Sus scrofa: one gene and its partners. The protein of the gene in region 3 interacts with the protein of the main gene of each other region in a pairwise test. Links are inferred from orthologs where the notes say so. Each region holds a gene or a part of one and is shown on either strand. Other genes may lie near its edges.

Region 1 (4,095 bases), on a different chromosome or scaffold from region 3:
GGCCATATTTTCTGCCCGTCAGGACCAAGGAAGGTAAGTATTGAGTTTTGAGCCATGCTGGGAATAAGGCAAGGCATTTTTTTTTAAAAAAAAAAAGCCAGGATGGCCAGGTGTGTGTGAGAGACTGCTCACTGAGAACTCTACAAACGTGCCCCTGACAGGCGAGTAAAGTAACACCACAATGAACAGCTGACTTCATGGTATTTTACAGTCTTCTGGGGCCTTCTAATCCATGGGTTTATTTGCTTTTCGAAACAGCCCTCAGAGGGAGGCAGGACAGGTTTTATAATCCTCCATTCACAGACAGAGACACTGAGGGGCACAGAGTTCAAGTGAGCCACCCAAAGCCACAGACACATTACGTGGTAGAGGCAGGAGTCAAATCTTGGTTATTTTGACTCCAAGTACAGTGCTCATTTCACTGTATTTTTTGTTTGTTCCTTTTGCCTTTTTTTTTTTTTTAACTGTTTTTCCATTCTGGACTCTGGCCTTGTGACCTTCTTGAATCATTAAGATCTCAGGCCAATCCCGAGCCCCTGTAAGACCTTCAATATAGGAGGTGTCTTTTTTCTAAAGAGAGCACCTGCCAAGAGGCACAGGTGATGAGTAAACGTTTAGAGCATCAATTCCAGGCCATCCCCTCTGGCTTTCAGACCCACCACAGCCTCTTCTGTCTGATAGTCAGGAAGGGACCGTGGCCTTGGGCCCCTTTGCCCCCAGTCCACTCCAGGGCAGGCTGGACCACAGGGCGAGAGAGGAAGGCCTGGCACAGGGCAGAACCAGCAGCTGCTTTCAGGGAACAACAGAAAGAAATCCCAGCCCCGCTGCTTTATTTTGATTTAAAAATCAAGTCTGGTGACAATGGAAACTCTTTCCCTGCTGTCCTCTCCTTTCTGCCTGTGTTGACAGAAGACGGACTTGCTAATTCTGGCTGGGGTTTTTCCCTCCCAGGGCTGTTTTTCTCTTTTATCTTCATCAATTGAAGAGAGCTATTCTGCCTTTCAAACTGTCGGAAGGTATCTGGGGTTTTGTGTATTTTTTTTTTCTTTCTTTCACATAATTCTGTGGGTCTTTTCCCAGATATGTATTTTCTCTCAAATTGACTTCTAACTTGTTTAAGTTTCCGCCCATGTGACTTCCAGCGCGAGTTACCAGAAACCACAAGAGAGAGAGAGGGCGCGAGCCCCAAAGCAAGCGACATGTCCCTGTGGGGAGCAGAGCCTCTGCACCCCAGAGTGAGGAGGACGCCGGGGTCAGAGGTGGCTGCAAGGCGGGCAGAGGAGGGCCCTGCGAAGGGGGGTGGGCTCGTGGCCCCGAAGCAATCAGGAAGGGAGGCCGGCTGGTGACAGGAGAGCCCGGAGGCCCGTGGGGCTGCGTGGACAGCCCGGAAGATCACAGCCATGCCTCACAGCTCCGACAGCAGCGACTCCAGCTTCAGCCGCTCTCCACCCCCCAGCAAACAGGTAGGGTCCTGCCTCCCGCTCCTCCTCCCCTCCGATTCTCCCCGGAGGACAGAGGGAGAGGCGAGGGGATGGCTGGTGGCAGGAGCACTCTCTGAGACTTAAGACACGGAGATCTGCCCTGAAGCTGTGCATCTCATCTCGGCAGAGACCCTCGTCCTTCTGCCTCTCCTGCCAAATGATGCCCCCCCTCCCCGCCCCGTTCCCCCGCCAAAGCCCATCGCCTCCACCTCGCTAGCTTCCCAGCCCATGAAGCTTTCTAGGAAGCCAGGAGGAAGAGAATGAGCGCCAAAGACCTGGCCTCTCAGAAGAGTCTACCTCTCTCCAAGGCAGTAGCAGAGTGAGAGGAGGAGCGTTAAACGCGGGCTGCGGGGCGCGCACACCGCGAATGCTAGATGGTTGCCTGGGAGACAGCCTGCAGGGTGAGAGAGGAAGGGATCGGGAAAAGGAACAAGAAAGAAAAGCGATTCCCACCCCTCCTCCCCTCCACCTCCAGGAGGAGGGCGGCCCCCCGAACCAGCACAGAAGGATCTATCTTTTCCACCCTGCACGGCACCTGTTGCTAGCGCAGGCGGCAGAGAGGGCGCCAGGGGAGGGGGAGGAAATGAATCAAGAGATGCTTCAGGGCACTTGGAGCCGTTCCCTGGTAGCTCAGCTCAGCTCTGGGGAAAGCAGAGAGATGAAGGTGGAGATTCCGGGAGCGTCTGGAGTCTAGATGGCAACTTCTAACTCAGAAGTTTTCAGCTTGGAATTTGCCAAAGAACCAGGGCGTCCTGGCTTCCCGGTTGCTCCTGGGGCTTTCTGTTCACCACATTCCTTGACAGTCCTCCCTAGAGGAAGCCCTCTTCTTTCCCATCCAATACATCAGTGGAGTATAATTTCTTCTCTGACTTTGTGGTTTGAAAACTGCATTCTTTCCTTAGCACAGATATCCAAGAGAGCTTTCAAAATGCTGCAGCCTGAATAAAAGTATATGAACATATACTGCAGCTTCTGTCATCAATATCTTGAGAAGCCACCTGCAGGAAGGAGTCCTAGTGGAGACCTCTAGAGGACAAGCGATCCAGTCCTCTGCTCTAGATGCTATCAGAGCTGTTCAGACTGCCTGGAAGTCTATGCTCTTCTTAGGAAGGAAATTACTCATGGCTTCCATGGTAACCTGGTTCCCCATCCCCCTTAGAGGAAGAGCACTTCCTTCCTATCTACCCAATGCCCTCCAACTGCAATGGCCTGGAAGTACTGGGCCTATTGGTGAGACATATGCTTGGTGGGCAGAGTCTTGCCCTAGCAGTGCCGCTCTGGTCTTGGGGAACGTGAGCGGGGATGGGGCAGGAGGTGCAGAAGTTTCACACAGACCCCTACACTTATCCTGCAGCATCTGGGAGAAAGCCAGAGCTAACCTCTCTGCCCAAGCAAAGCACATGCCCCTCTATGGGGTGCACTTAGAAAACACCCAAAGGTCCCCTTGTCCTCCTAAACACCCATCCGCTACCTGCCACGGCCAGGTAATCTCCACCAGCAAAGCTGTTCATGGCCTCCAGTTTGTACCAGGCACTGTGCTCAGCGCCATGGGCGATATCGGGGTCCCTGGACATAATGGAGGGGATTCGGAGAAAGAAGAGGCAGATCTAGGATGGGGACCTCAGCCCAGGGATGCAGCAGAAGACACATGATGTACAAATCAGCGAGATGGTGGTAGCTGGAGTTGCGGGGGGTGGCTTGGACAGGCCTCAGACTCAGCATTGGAGGCTCTAACTACCAGATGACTGTGAACTCTTGGGCAAGCTCTTTGAGCCTCAGTCTCCGGCACATATAAGATGGAAATAATCATATCAACTTCACAGAATTGGGGGATTGAACAAGAGCACCTTTGAGCAAACACACTTGCCCTGAAGCTGGCACATAGTAAGTACTCAACAAAGTTTTGGGGGAAAAAAATAGCAAAAGGGTTCTAGGCCAAAAGTGAGAGGGTAAGGGTGGAGCAGCCCTGAAGAGGAGAGGTGATAAAACACACTTCATCGCCTTAACCATCTCTCTCCAAATAGCCCTATAGAGGTGTCAAACTCTTTTGCCCTCTTCCTGTAAGTTTTGGCCAAAAAAGTTATAGAGACTTAAGAGAGTGTAACAGAGTGTGGGGAAGCATTCTCTCTGGGGTTCACCCTTTTGGTAAATAAATAGTGCGCAAAGATAGAGGAAGAGATGGAAGGGAGAATGGCCAGAGAGCAAGCCCTGTGAGATCCTGCTTCAGCTCTGGAGAGAGGAGGTAACACCTAATTCTCATCGTCTCTGCTTCCCAGGACTCATCCGATGATGTGAGAAAAGTTCAGAGAAGGGAGAAAAATCGCATTGCTGCCCAGAAAAGCCGGCAGAGGCAGACACAGAAAGCTGACACCCTCCATCTGGTGAGTGCTCAGACCTCTCTTCCCCCTCCTGAACTGCAGGCTTTATTCCCACCACCTGTGAATGCCTGGACCATAGCTTTGAGTCTGCCTGTGTGGGGATGTATATGCGGAGCAGTAAATGGAGGGGTGAGGGCTACGGGTGAGTAGGGGAGTGGAGGCTCTCCTGGGAGCTTTCAGGAAGCTGAAAGAGGAATAAATGAGCCCCAAGCAGTAAAGGAGTGAAGGCTGGGCAG
Region 2 (4,089 bases), about 59 Mb from region 3:
GGGACTCAGAAGCCAGCCCATCTTAACCCTGAGCCAGTTTCTCACAGCGTGGCCGTGGCCACCACATCAGAACCCCGACGGGCAGAGTGGTCATCACAGTGTAGCCCCCAGACCCCATTCCAGCCTCCTCAGGTGGGTGGGGAGGGATCAGGGGTCTGCATTTTTGTCTTTTTTTTGTTGTTGTTGTTGTTGCTATTTCTTGGGCCGCTCCCACGGCATATGGAGGTTCCCAGGCTAGGGGTCGAATCGGAGCTGTAGCCACCGGCCTACACCAGAGCCACAGCAACGCGGGATCCGAGCCGCGTCTGCAACCTACACCACAGCTCACGGCAACGCCGGATCGTTAACCCACTGAGCAAGGGCAGGGACCGAACCCGCAACCTCATGGTTCCTAGTCGGATTCGTTAACCACTGCGCCACAACGGGAACTCCAGGGGTCTGCATTTTAACGAGCTCCCCAGCTGGTCCCCACGGGATTCTCCCTGTTTGCCCCTCCTTCCCTTTTCCTCCCCCTAGATGGGAGACTGCCTCGAGGGCAGGCCCAGGCTGAGGATGCCCTGCTGTGCCCCTGGAGCCCAGTGTGTATCTGGAGCACGGCTTCCACTCAACACTCAGGAATTTCCAAATCACAGCTGCAGCCCCCCTGCCCCACCCCCGGCACACACAGCAGCGGAGGTGGAACTGCTCACAGGCCGGATGGAGAAGAGGTGGCCGGGCCAGGCACGTGACGTCAGGGATGGGAAGGGAAGCATCCCCACCTGGTGCAAGGCATCCGCTTTGTTCGTGTGCTTCTGCCGGCTTCTCTGGGCGGCCACCCGGTTCTTCTGTTTCTTCTTCAGCTGTCTCTGATGCTCCTCAGAGTCCTGTAAGGTGAGAGGCAGAGGGCTCAGGGGTCCCTACAGGGGCTGGCGGGCTGTAAAGCCATACACCCTTCTTGAGTTAAGTCCCTGAGGGTCCCCTTTCTCCCAGAAGCCATCTCTGGCTCCCTCGGTGTCCACACACCCCATCGCACACACAGCACCCCTGGGTGGAGTCCCAGTCACCCACATGTCCTACTCACAGCTCACGTTGGGGCAGCACAAGATGAGAGTCTGGGATTCAAACCCAGACAGAACTGACTTCACACCCACACTCTTTTTTTTTTTTTTTCTTTTTAGGGCCGCACCCATGGCACATGGAGGGTCCCAGGCTAGGGGTCCAATTGGAGCTACAGCCACAGCCACTTGGAATCCAAGCCACGTCTGTGACCTACACCACAGCTCCTGGCAATGCTGGATCCTTAACCCACTGAGCAAGGCCAGGGATCAAACCCAGGTCCTCATGGATACAAGTCAGGTTCGTTAACCAATGAGCCACCACAGGAACTCACACCCACACTCTCTTTATCAGCCCTGTTGCCCTGGGCAGGCCTTCCCTGTGTCCAGCTGCCTCATCTGCACAAGGGAAGACCAGTACCTTCCTCAAGCGTCGTAAGGCAGACAGCCCAAGGCCAGCCCACGGACCAGGGTTAATACAAGGCGGCCGTTGTTCCAATAGCTATTATTTCCACAGTCAAGGTGTTGATTTCTCTAGCCTTGAGCTTCGTCTGTGAGAGCAGGTCTGCATTCTGATTGGGTTCCAAGTGCCCGTGGCCAGCTCAGGCCCACAACTGAAGTTCATTTATCCAACAAATATTTTTTGAGCACCTACTAGGTGCCATGCACTGAGCTATGGGGACAGAGCAGCAAACCACAGAGAAAAAAAATTCCTGCCCCAAGTTGCTCGCATTCTAGTAGGACAAGTAGCCTTTAATGAATGAATGAATGGAGTCCCTTCTGACAGAACTGTGGCCTCAGAGGTTCACAGCCATGACCGTCCCCCTACACTGGGGTTCATGAAGCTTAGATGAAATATTTGACCCAAACACCCAGGGTTCTGGAAGGTCAGACAAGAGGAAACGCTGGGGACCCCACAGCCCAACCCCCCTCCCACAGATCACTCTGATTTCTGCAAGTTCTGAGTGCAGAAATCTCAGGCAAGACCCTGGCCTCCCTGGCTGAGGACTCTGCTTCCAGGTTCATGGCCACAGCAGATCCCTTCCAGGTGCTGGGGCCAAAAGACAGGAACCCCGGGGAAAGACCTGCAGTGAGAGAAGCAGGTGGGACTCTGGTACCTGGGTCCCGGGAGAGGGGCAAGGCCTCCACCAGAACCATGGCCAGAGAAGTCTCCCATTATGGCAATGAAAGAACAGGTAGGTTAGGAGAGAGCAGTAACCAGAGGCCGGGCTCTGGACTGGAGGCTGGATCTGCAATGGGAGAGCAGGTAAACCCTCATTCCAAGGATGCTCCGAGGAAACTGAGGCCGGCAGGGTCGGGGGGCGGGGGTGAGCCCATGTGAACCAAACTGGCACCGGGCGCCCTGGGGCCTATTCCCCTTCTCCTCTCCTGAATCCCGTCCCCTGTACTCACCATCCCAGTCAGCAGCTCGTCGCCTCTGCAGAGGTGCATGTTTGGAGGGAAAACAGAGGCTCACACCCGGTTCAGGGTGGCCCTCGGCTGCTGTGACCTCCCCGTGCCCTCTGGGGGCCCAAGGAAGTGGCAGCTCTTTAAATCCCCAGTGGCCACCCCGCCCCCAGCGAGCCAAGTTTCAGTTTCTCCTAAAGCCACCGGCTGCTCAGAATCCCGGGCTTGGCTTGGCTCACGTGGCTGGAATTTCCTAACATGAACTGGCCTTCCGGTTGGGCCCCTTCTCTGGGAGGAGGACGGTGGAGGGTGGCCAGAGGAGGGGGCCTGAAGGCCAGGTGCGGGGAAGGTGTTCTGGAAGAGGGAGAGCAGGCTGCCAGGGACAGAGCCGAGAGGAGAAGCCAAGGGGGGACCGAGGGTCACATGGGATATGGGCAAACCCCTGGGCTCTACAATTGCAGGAACCCAGGTTCACAGCCCACCTCTGGCATTTTGGAGCTGTGCAGCTTTGGGAAAGTGACTTACCCTTTCTGAGCCATAATTTCCTCATCTATAAAGGGAGATGATATAGATATTTATTTACAGGCAGGAACTTAAGCAAGATAATACAACCACCCTCAAACCTGGTGAGACCAGTGTGGAGGTGCGTCTGCAAAAATAAGCAATGGCCCTTGGAGTTCCCATTGTGGCGCAGTGGAAATGAATCCGACCAGGAACCATGAGATTGCGGGTTCGATCCCTGGCCTCTGCTCAGTGGGTTAAGGATCTGGCATTGCCGTGAGCTGTGGTGTAGGTTTGCAGATGCAGCACGGATCCTGCGTTGCTGCGGCTGTGGCCCAGGCCAGCAGCTGTAGCTCTGATTGGACCCCTAGCCTGGGAACCTCCATATGCTGCAGATGCAGCCCCAAAAAGTGAAAAAAGAAAAAGCAATGGCCCTTAAACAGGAGAACAGATGGATAAACGACTGTATTTTCATACCACAGACCCCACAGCAGTAGAGAGGGTGGTGTCTAGCGGCTAAGAGCACAGTTTCCAAGGGTATAGACTTTCGCCTTTCTATGCCTCTGTTTCCAAATCTGTAAAATATTTTGTTGTGAAGGTTAGGTAAGGCACAACAAAATTGTTAAGGCAGGTAAGGTACCGGAAACCATGCCTGGTGCAGAATAAGGGCTCAACAAATATTCACAATTATGATACGGTGAAAGAGCCAAAGCTGCACTTAGCCTCATGCCTAAAAGTTCGTAACATCCAATGGCATGAAAATGACAAGCTGCAACAGGATCTGAGCAACATAATTTCTGAAAGGCTGGATAATGTGGATACGGAATTATGTAATAAAAGTATAAAAATATGGAGTTCCCGTTGTGGCGCAGTGGTTAACGAATCCAACTAGGAACCATGAGGTTGTGGGTTCGGTCCCTGCCCTTGCTCAGTGGGTTGACGATCAGGCGTTGCCATGAGCTGTGGTGCAGGTTGCAGACGCGGTTCGGATCACGCGTTGCTGTGGCCCCGGTGAAGGCTGGTGGCTATGGCTCCGATTAGACCCCTAGCCTGGGAATCTCCATATGCCACGGGAGCAGCCCAAGAAATAGCAAAAAGACAAAAAAAAAAAAAAAAGTATAAAAATATGCATGGGAATGAGAGACAC
Region 3 (4,415 bases):
ACTGGGGGGACCCAGATAAGCAGAAAAAGTGAGGGTTCTGGGGTACACTGAGTCAAGGAAAATATGTGGGGTAGAAGACTGGGACGTTGTCAGAGGCTAGGGGTCATTGGGGTCAACTGCGAAGCCCCGATGAAAAAGAATTAGAAGGGTCGGGGCACCCCCTCGGAGCTGGGATGACACTAAGGGAGGGGCCCTGGCTGAAACATGGGAGGAAGGGTCTTTGAGGATCCAGGATACCTGGACTGCTAGATCTTCCATGATGGGCGCCCCCTCTCGTGAGTGACCTCTAAGTTCCAGTATACTCTCTCCCCACCCCCAAAGCCCTCCCCCAGTGATCCTCGGCTTGACCGACACCGTGAAGACTCCTGGTGCCTGGACCCAGCCTGACGGCCGGGGCGCGGTCGCCCAACCCCACTCTTCCTTAGAAACAGGCTGGGGAAAGAGCGCCGCGGCAGGAAGTGTGGCAACAGCCCCGGGGGAAGGAGCCGGGCCCTGCCTCCGTCACTCGAATCCTACGGGACCATATGCCCCGCCCTGGGTCCAGCCGGGTCCTGCGCCTCGGAAGAGGAACCTGGGCTTGCGACCCCCGAGGAAGTCAGAGCGAGCGGAACACACCCAACCGCAGAGGTCCCCAGTCATCGACCCCCACCCCTGCAGTGGTTCAGCCCTAGTGTCGTAAAGGCTAGCAATCCGGGGACGGTTCCATTAGCCGGACGGAGGGGGACGCGCCGGGGAGCGGGGCCTGGTCGCCAAGGCAACAGGCCGGAGTCCGCAGGCAGGACTGGGGGCGGGGCGGCCCCCGGAGTCTCTCTCTGACGCCCATATAAGGGCACAGGAAGGGGTGGGGTCAGCACTGTCCCGGGGCCCCCGGCCAGGAGCCGGGAGCCCGAGTATCTGCCAGGTCCCAGGGCGCGCCCGGGCCCCCAGACGGCTAGTCCCGACCAGCCCCGACCGCCGCCCCCGGGGCCCCCACGGCCTCCTGGCCCAGCCCCACCCAGCCGCTCTGGGGCCGCGTCCTGCCAGGCCCTGCCCAGCCCGACCCAGCCTGGCAGGTCCGCGCCTGCCCGCGGGCCTGGGTCGGACTTCGCCCCCGGCCCGATGGGCGCAGAAGGGGCGCGCCAATGCCTCTGGGCGACCCCGGCGCCTGGGCGGGCGGGCACGACGGCCTCCTACCTCATGCTGGGTGCCCTTACTTTCTGCCAGGAGATCTGGGGTCCTTCCCCAAATACATCCCTAGGGGCTGGGGTGCTTCCTCCTTCACTCACGTGGGTGAGAGGCCCTACTCCTATTTTAGTGTGAGGGTCTCCTCACCATCCAGAATACCCAAAGGGGGATCCACACTCCCTCATCTGAGGGCTCCCTTCCCCTGCTGACAGAGAGGACCTGAAAATCCATGAGTCGAATCTGAGGGAACCTCTCCAGAGCCTCTTCCCCAAAATGGGTGAAGGTTTAGATGCTGAGGCTTTAGTTATACTTAAGGTGGGACTTCCAGGAGGTAGGCTATGAGCCACTAGAACCAGAGATGAGCCTCTCAGTATCTGTCTCCTCTCTGTCTTGAAAGAGACATGTCTATCTTTTGGAAACATGGAAGTTTCTTTAGGGTAGACTTAGGCTGAGGGAGAGGAGATAGCCAGCCTTTGTAGGGCAGACACAGCTCACCAAGTGTGGAGGAGAGAAGGAAAACGAAAGAGGCGAAAGAGAAACTGAGCTATGTGGGGGCAGGGGGAAGTCCAGCAGAGCCGGTGGTGGTGTTGGGGAGGAAGGTCCCATGAGAAGCTGGGGGTGTCCCCATCTTTGGAGGGTCCTTGTGACCTCTGGGTACCCCCTCCCCTCCTCCTTTGCTTGAACTGCTCCCCTCCCCCTCCCCAGGCTCAAGGGAGATTCCAGTGGCCGCTGAGTCTGGCAGGCATGCTGCCAGGCCTGTGTCTCCCGCCCATGCTAATAACTGCAGCTGACATCTGGCTGGGCCCTGCGGGGGCGCAACGGGGTAGTGTTGGGGGGCTGGGCAGGTCTGGTTGGAGGGCAGCATCTCAGGAGGCTAACCTGCAGGTCCCACAGGCTAGGAGTACACAGTGAGTCATCCCTGACCAGTGCTGAAGCTGGCTGTGCCAGGGGAGCCTTGGAGAGAGGCAAGACTGGCCCATGAGCGTAGAGATGGAGGGCAAGGCCTGAGCAAGGAAAAGTGGATGTATGGGGGTGGGGGTCAGGGCAGGGAGAGATGCAAGATTAGAGTCATGCAAACTCAGAGACTCTTGAGACAGGCCAACAGACTGAGAAATAATAATTATTATTTTAATAGCTAACACTTATATGGCTCTTACCATGGGCCAGGCACTCTTCTAAGTGGTTTACATGGAATAACTCATTGCCTGTTTCCAACAATCCAGCGAAATGCATGCTCTTTGTATCCCCATTTAACAGACTAAAAAACTTAGGAACAGAAAGGTAAGGAACTTTGCCCCATGTCACATAGCTATAAGCACTGGAATTGATCTAGAACTTGAGATGTCTGACTCCAGAATTTCAGCTCTTTTTGTGTGGATAATCACAACTAGAGAGGCATTTATGCAGTGCCAGCTGTTTGTCAAGTTCTGCAGGCCCTTTCAAGAAGAGTCTCCTGGAATTCCTATAGAGACTTAGCAGAAAAGAACCCGACTAGTATCCATGAGGATGTCCAGAGTTGCCCTGTGCTGTAGCGTAGGTCGCAGAAGTGGCTCGGAGCCGGCATCGCTGTGACTGTGGTGTAGGCCGGCCGGCAGTTGTAGCTCTGATTCGACCCCTAGCCTGGGAACGTCCATATGCCACACCTGGGTCCCGAAAAAGAAAGAGAAAAAAAAAAGGTCTCCTTTATCCTTTAGACAAACAGGGTTGGGCACAGGGCAGAGGGGTGCTAGTGTGTTTGGGGGCAGGCCGGCATGTTGGAGTGGGGTCGGGTCACTCTCTGCACTCTGCACGGGTGTTTGAGCAGGGGGTGGGGATGGGCCAGTGAGGGAGGGCGGGGGCCCAGCTGAGCTGGTACAGCCGGTTCCAGGCCCCTGCCAGTCTCACCCTTGTGGCCTGGGCACCACCCCCTCACGCCGTCCCACTGGCGCCAAGGCTGGCCCAGAGAGGAGAGCCCCCTCCTCCATCAGCCCTGGGTGCCCAGACTAGCAGCTGGGGACTGCCCAGGCCCTGGGTTCCAGACCAGCATCTGCCCAAGGAGTCTGTGTCCAGGCTTCCCTCATGCCCAGGGCCCGGGGGCCTAGGGGACTGGATAAGGAGGAAGTTCTCCCACCCCCACCCACAGGTCTCTCTGGGGCTTTTGGCCTTGGCAGGAGGGACTTCTCCTTCTTATAAATAGCCTGGTGACACCCCCCCACCCCCCCCCCCACACACACAGCCGGCTCCACTGGCTGGCAGGGCCCTTAATAGAAAACTGGGCTGGGGGCTGCTGGTGAGTCAGCCAGTGGGCAGGCCAGGGCGAGAACCCGCAAGTCACAGCACCCAGACTCCCTCGTCCCTGCCCCTGGGTGTGGACAGGCAGCTGGCAGGAAAAGGCTGAGAATCACGGAGGCCCTCCCCCCAGGAACCCTGGCTTGCCAGCAGCTTCCCTACCCAATCTCTGTGGTTTGGGGGGTCCCTCACCCCTCTCCTGGAGAGGAAGCTGCTCAGTTTTCTTGGAAGCAGGAAGGAGAGGAGAGTTTGTCTCCTCAGGCTGACTCAGCTGGGCACGAGGGGAGTTTCCCACAAAGCTGTTTCTGTCACCCCCCCTCCATGCTGCTGGTGAAGTCTTGGGGGGCCTGAGCCTGGCTGAGATCCTGGGTACCTCATTTTCAGGGGATGTGCTGAGAAAATAGGCCCACACCCTATGAAAGCCTGAGGCTGTTGAACTGGGCCTCCTAGGGGAAGTGACAAACAGTGTGGGGGGTGACAATGTTGGAGAGAGGAAGCACCAGGATTTCTGGGTGGGGTTAGAGATATGGGCTGGGAAGCCCAGAGCCTCACAGCACCTAAGCAAGGTCCAAGGGCGCATGTGTGTCTGGTTGGCTGTGGGTTTGTGTGTGGCTGGCCTGTCAGGGCCTGTGATAGTGTGTGTGAGGCATCTTCTCAGGGTATGTGTCTGTTTGTTGGCCCAGCCCCACAGGGGTGTGTAGGGCCTGTCTGGTTTGGGTGGGGGTGAGGGGGGGAAGGTGTGTGTGTTTGTGTGTGTGTATGATCTATGGAATAGGTTGCATGTGGCTGGCCTAGATGCACAAGTATAGGTTGTTTTGGAGTTCATATGGCTAACCTGTTTGTGTCTGGTGTGTGTCTGTGTATGTGAGGTTTAGGGCTTGCCTGTTTGAGGTGTGTGTGTGAGTGTGGGGTCTGTGGCTGGCCCATGTGTGTCTGTGGGCTCTGTGGCTGGGGTGTGTGTGTGTGGTGTACACACATGCATG

The links.
Region 1: the proteins of JUNB (region 3) and BATF interact in binary tests that used the Homo sapiens proteins (3 or more experiments, as listed by UniProt). The link is inferred for Sus scrofa from reciprocal best matches to the Homo sapiens genes JUNB and BATF.
Region 2: the proteins of JUNB (region 3) and BATF2 interact in binary tests that used the Homo sapiens proteins (3 or more experiments, as listed by UniProt). The link is inferred for Sus scrofa from reciprocal best matches to the Homo sapiens genes JUNB and BATF2.

What each region holds. Positions count from the first base shown.
Region 1 is NC_010449.5:98,669,021-98,673,115, forward strand, and holds the start of BATF (basic leucine zipper transcriptional factor ATF-like), read left to right. Parts: upstream 1-1,190; 5' UTR 1,191-1,400; coding exon 1,401-1,463; intron 1,464-3,757; coding exon 3,758-3,862; intron 3,863-4,095. UniProt on the Homo sapiens protein: AP-1 family transcription factor that controls the differentiation of lineage-specific cells in the immune system: specifically mediates the differentiation of T-helper 17 cells (Th17), follicular T-helper cells (TfH), CD8(+) dendritic cells and class-switch recombination (CSR) in B-cells.
Region 2 is NC_010444.4:7,178,835-7,182,923, reverse strand, and holds the start of BATF2 (basic leucine zipper transcriptional factor ATF-like 2), read right to left. Parts: upstream 2,906-4,089; 5' UTR 2,487-2,905; coding exon 2,448-2,486; intron 864-2,447; coding exon 690-863; intron 1-689.
Region 3 is NC_010444.4:66,216,624-66,221,038, forward strand, and holds the start of JUNB (transcription factor jun-B), read right to left. Parts: upstream 2,813-4,415; 5' UTR 1-2,812. UniProt on the Homo sapiens protein: Transcription factor involved in regulating gene activity following the primary growth factor response. Binds to the DNA sequence 5'-TGA[GC]TCA-3'.